2 linked regions of the Daphnia pulex genome follow. The protein of the gene in region 2 purifies or fractionates together with the protein of the main gene of each other region. This does not show direct contact. Links are inferred from orthologs where the notes say so. Each region holds a gene or a part of one and is shown on either strand. Other genes may lie near its edges.

Region 1 (3,063 bases), on a different chromosome or scaffold from region 2:
TGGTATTATTAACATCGTGTTCAATTAATTGCTGTTTTTCCAAAAAAATTTGTATCTTTGTCTAGGATCTTTGTAATGCTATCAAATGATTTTCAGATGACATGTTTGAATATATTTTGGAATTGTAATATTTAACAAATGATTTGAATGGGAAATCAGTTTACTATACATCTAGACTAGATTTTTAAAATCAATTGATTAATGCTTACCTCATCTAGGTCCATGTAGCTGCCAGCACCTATGTATGTAAAAAAAATCCATAAAAATATTGGCTGTGGTAATCATCATGTTAATCACGATGGTGAATGGTGGACTACTAACCTTCAGGAAACATTTCATCAACAACTACATTTGGCTTCATTTTAATCACCGTGAAGTATAAACTTTAACTGACTGTAGTTAATTAACAAATGAGCCTTATTTGAAAACACTATTGGTGTTTCCTCAACAATTCTTAAGACTCTTGAGTTGGAGAAAGAATCCAAGAGCGACAGGACAATAATGTTGAAAAACGTATTTTCGTCTGTTAACTGCTAAGAAAAGATGGAACAATGTTGCCAAATCAAACGGTACCGATTTATAGCCTCGGGCATTTGGTATCTCCCCGTGGGCCCGTTTTGTTTCTCTTTATGTGTTCCTAGTGAAATGTAATATTTTAATTTTTGTTTTCTACATCTTTATGAGTATGTTGGAAAAAGTTGTAAAATATACTAGCTGAATCAATCATAGTAATTTTACCTGAACAGCAAACAAACTACATTCATCCTCCAAATTGCAAATTGTCTAAATGAATAATAATTGATTATACAAAACATACAATTATTGAAGCTGTTGACTCTTTTATTTGAACAAATGTTACTAAAGTTAGATTATTTACAATGAAATCTATAGTTCTCCCCTGCACAAAAGATGTTTTATTTCAAATTATCCATGAAATCTTTTGCTTCATTTATCTTAGCTGCTAAATATGGTGAGCCACCTCTATCTGGGTGATTTGCAAGCATTATTCTTTTATGGGCTTCTTTCACTCTGATTTTGTTGGCTGTTGGTGATACACCAAGTATTAAAGATGCTTCTCTTTTGGACATTTTGGCATCAAAACCACCTTTGTAGTACTTGCTTCCAAGAAGAGACTACAAAAAATATTTGAAAAAATGATAATAAGAACATTACCATAAGTAGAAAAATATCAACATTTACAATTAATTCTATCTAATACCTCAGTATCCATAGGAAACTGCTTGAGTATTTCGTTAAACTTCGTCGTCATTGTGGGAGCAGATCGAAGCAGTGTGCGACCAGCAAATCCGACAGCAGCCAGTCCAAGACCAACAACTATCGCTGTTGACTGAATTACATAGTAGACATTAATAGCAAAACTTTAGTTTCACTATACACAATAAAATTTACTTTGAAATATTACCATTTTTTCGTTCGGAGGACAAGAGGTTTCGTCACGTTTTTGTAATGTTGTCTGCTCTGTTACTCAATATCTACCCACGAGCTTGAAATTCTAAACAACAGATGGCTTTGTTTGTCACGTAATGTCTTCTGATTGGGCCACATCACAGACGATTATTCTATTATCAGTCTGAAGTGATCCTTGTGGCTTCTTAAAGCTCTTAAGTTTAAAAAATAGAATGATAACTTTAAAAATGGCTGATTGGGGCCCACATTCAAGACAAATGTATTCAATCTTAATTTGTCTCGTTAGCATCGGAATCATCGAAGGTACAAGCCGGTTTCTTCAACTCATGTAAATTGTCCTTGTGATTCAAACGTCTTATGTATTTATTTTTCATTATACAGTTCACGGAAACGCCAATCCCTCGGAAATTGAAAAGCATTTAGAGCTTGGTAAATTAATGATGGCTAAGGGCCAACTCCAAGATGCACTCACCCATTTCCATGCAGCTCTAGAAGGAGATCCTTCTAACTACTTAACATTATACAGAAGAGCTACTGTATATCTTGCCCAGGGAAGAGCAAGAGCTGCATTAGAAGATTTGAATCGTGTTCTTGAAATCCAACCAGATTTCATTCAAGCCAGAGCTCAGAAGGGAAATATCCTAATGAAGCTTGGGCGTTTGCATGAGGCACATATTGAGTTGGAAAAAGTTGTAAGTATACATGTTATTATGGTCAAGTTAATTAAAAAATATTTCCTATATGTCTATCTTTCACAGCTTAAAAAGGAACCAACAAATAGTGAAGTCAACAAAAATTACATAGCAATTGAATCATTGAAGAAGAGTTACATGCAAGCTCAAATGTTTTTCAGTGACAAGGATTACCACCATGCCATTGATCTCTTAACCCAAGTTATTGATGTATGTTTTTATAAACTTTCTTGCAAATGATTTCTTGCTACTATGCTAACATTTTCTTTCTTTAGATTTGCCCTTGGGATATTGGTTTGCGAGAGATGCGCTCAGAGTGTTATCTAGCTATTGGAGAGGCATCAAAGGCTATTTCAGATTTAAAAGCAGCTACCAAATTGATGTCCGATAATACCGGCGCTTTCATGAAGCTTTCTAAACTGTATTATGGCTTAGGAGAACCAGAAGAGTCTCTAAAGTAATTATTCTTGTGTTTTTTGTTTTGTTCTGCATAATATTGTCAATATGATACAAGTTGCTTACCTTAAATTATTTTTTCTACAGCCAAGTTAGGGAATGTTTGAAACTTGATCCTGAACACAAGGAGTGCTTTCCTCATTACAAGAAAGTCAAGAAAGTGGCAAAGCTTGTGCAGGATCTGCAAACTAACTCTAATGACAACAACTACCAAGGATGCATCACTTCAGCTAAAAAAGTATTTTCCTTTGAATTATTAAATTCCACAATAAATAACAATGTAACCATTCATATAGGTCCTGAAAGTGGATCCCACCGTATCAGAATTATTATTTTTGGCTGAAGATAAACTTTGCCATTGCCATCTTCAACTAGGTGAACACTCGGAAAGTCTCGAGTTCTGCTCTTCAGCTTTAGCTCGGCACACAGAGCCGAGGATATTGTGCGACAGAGCTGAAGATTACATTGCTCTTGATATGCTCGACGA
Region 2 (2,646 bases):
TACATGATGTGCACTAAAAAGAGTTTCAGTTCTTCTTTTGTTTTAAACTGTTGTAGCGGCAGCAACGAACGGGAAACGAACCACAGGCAAGGTGACTACGATCTGTTGACACAAACAAGCGCAAATCTTCCTCCACCTATTGGCGCCGAAAAATCAGTTTAAAGAGTAAAAGTTCTAAAGTCAACATTGTTTAGAAGATAAAATGTCAGTTTTTAATATTTATAAAATGTAAAGATTATATTTGTAAAAAGGTTCTATAAATATTTGAATGAGCGGTTTGCCAGATTCTGTAATAAATTACATTCTAACGGATACCATATTGATTGTCGTCGTCAGTCATTGTAAAAACTGGTAAAAACCGTGTTTGCTATAGAAGGCCTAATGCATATAAAACAAATAATTAAATGAGCTTGGTAAATGTATAGTGAAATAAATTTGCAGCAATCACAAGTTGTGTTAAGATTAAAGTTTTCACTAAAATATATGATTCAAATATAAAGGTAAGAACAAAGCCTACTAAATTAAAATCATACCTGAAAAAATGTTTATACATCACATCACAATAAAAAAATATGCATAAGGATTCTATAATATTAGAATAAAAAAGGTTATAAAAAATGATTTTTATTAGTTATCCCTATATGTACAATTTTTCAATTTGACTACAAAGATAAATTCCAGATAATTTCCATAACCTTAACTGTCGTTTTGGAGAAGGTTACATTTTATTTTCTTTTGACGGTTCTTGTTTTTTTGTTTCATGTTTCATTTCTTGGTCAAGTCGTTCTTTAGCTCTGTATACTTTAGATTGAAGGTAGAATGAACCACCTTTCGTCTTGTCATTAACTTGGAACAAGTGATCATAGTTCTTCTGCACCAACTCAGGTTCTAATTTATCCACATTCAAGATTTCTTTTGCTTCCTCAAGGGTCATGCCTGTCTACAGAATGAAAAAAAAAACATGTTAACTTTTTAAAATTTACTGATATTACATAACTTTTGTGTGTAACAAACAAACCTTGAAGTTAGCTTCTACACGTGATGCGCCGGCTTTCCCACCACCAGCTCTTTTGGCAGCTTCCTGGCTAGCTTGATATTCTTGTTTAAGAGCTCTAGCAAACGCTCGCCCAATAACCTGGCCCCCCATAACAATTATTTGGGCCAAATATTTTGCCATAACCGTGGCGAGATAGATTCAAAATGATTACGTGATGATTTACGTCTGTAGTAGTATCAAGGTAGTATACTGGAATGTTTAGCAGGCGAAAAACAAACGGAAAAGCTACAGAAAAAAATGAAGACTCTTCTCTCAGAACAGACAGGTCAGTTTAAAAAATTTAGTTTGAAAAATCTTAAATAACTTAAGTGATTGATTTGTTAAAAATATAAAAATATTTCATAAAAGTAAACTAAATAACGATAAAATTTTCTTTTCAATTGATGAATTGATCGCCCCACCCACTTGACCACTTGATGTCTCTGTCTGTCCGTAGCAGACGACGGATTCAAGCGTCGTTCTGTCGTTCCGTTGCTAATGCCGACAAAGTTTTACTTTTTATCAACACAGTTAAATTTCAATGATTATTCTTTTGACTGTACACATCTAGTGTTTTAGATTAATTCAAAATGGCTAATCGAACAATCAAAGAGGCAATTTCTGTTAAAGGAACAAATCCTCAATACTTGGTTGAAAAGATTATTAGAACTCGAATTTATGATTCAAAGTACTGGAAAGAAGAATGCTTTGCTTTGACAGGTATATTGAAAATTTTACTTGTGTTTTGATGCACTCATTTTATTTATGTATATGTATTTTTTTAGCTGAGTTGATGGTGGATAAGGCCATGGAATTAAGGTACATTGGTGGAATATTTGGTGGTAATGTTAAACCTACTCCATTTCTCTCACTTACACTAAAAATGCTTCAAATCCAACCAGAAAAGGACATTGTAGTGGAGTTTATAAAAAATGAAGATTTCAAGTAAGTTCTTTGACCAAAACAGACAAGTTATACAGGAAATCACCTAATATAATGTATCATTATAGATATGTCCGTGCCTTGGGAGCATTCTACATGAGACTTGTTGGAACATCTGTGGAAATCTATAAATATTTAGAACCACTTTACAATGATTACAGAAAAATTCGGTTTCAAAACAAGGAAGGAAGTAATAATAAAAATAAGATATTTTTAAAAAGAATACTGCAAATTAACATGTGGTTTTATTTAGATTTTGAGCTTCTTTACATGGATGATTTCATTGATAGTTTACTGAGAGAAGAGCGTTTTTGTGATGTTATCCTGCCCAGACTTCAGGTATAAATGTGAATTAGTATTCAACCTAAAAAATACTGATTAAATACGGTTTATTTTACTTTCAGAAACGTCAAATTCTGGAAGAAGCTAATGAAGTTGAGCCGAGAGTATCAGCTTTGGAAGAAGACTTGGAGGAAGAAGATTCAGAAAGTGAAGAAGAAGAGGGTGAAAGGAAAGGAGGTTCGTTGTCGCCCCCTCCTACTACATCGCGTTCAAAGCAGGACAGTGATCGAGAACGGGAACGTTCTCGTCGTAATAGGGATAAAGAACGTGAACGAGAGAGAAGTAGGGAAAGACGTGATCGACATAGAGACAGAAGTCGAAGTCGT

Evidence for each region.
Region 1: the proteins of mitochondrial import inner membrane translocase subunit Tim16-like (region 2) and mitochondrial import inner membrane translocase subunit TIM14-like purify together in Homo sapiens (affinity purification with mass spectrometry; 3 studies listed by BioGRID and IntAct, with this or other methods). This does not show direct contact. The link is inferred for Daphnia pulex from reciprocal best matches to the Homo sapiens genes PAM16 and DNAJC19.

The regions. Positions count from the first base shown.
Region 1 is NC_060023.1:5,722,223-5,725,285, forward strand, and holds mitochondrial import inner membrane translocase subunit TIM14-like, read right to left. Parts: upstream 1,559-3,063; 5' UTR 1,427-1,558; coding exon 1,424-1,426; intron 1,349-1,423; coding exon 1,220-1,348; intron 1,134-1,219; coding exon 915-1,133; 3' UTR 823-914; downstream 1-822. Other genes in the region: dnaJ homolog subfamily C member 3-like, read left to right, coding at 1,641-1,731, 1,810-2,120, 2,187-2,330, 2,396-2,577, 2,664-2,814, 2,873-3,063. UniProt on the Homo sapiens protein: Mitochondrial co-chaperone which forms a complex with prohibitins to regulate cardiolipin remodeling.
Region 2 is NC_060022.1:2,882,582-2,885,227, forward strand, and holds mitochondrial import inner membrane translocase subunit Tim16-like, read right to left. Parts: upstream 1,267-2,646; 5' UTR 1,178-1,266; coding exon 1,019-1,177; intron 941-1,018; coding exon 719-940; 3' UTR 609-718; downstream 1-608. Other genes in the region: furin-like protease 1, read left to right, coding at 1-162; pre-mRNA-splicing factor 38A-like, read left to right, coding at 1,627-1,756, 1,822-1,981, 2,047-2,168, 2,232-2,317, 2,383-2,646. UniProt on the Homo sapiens protein: Regulates ATP-dependent protein translocation into the mitochondrial matrix. Inhibits DNAJC19 stimulation of HSPA9/Mortalin ATPase activity.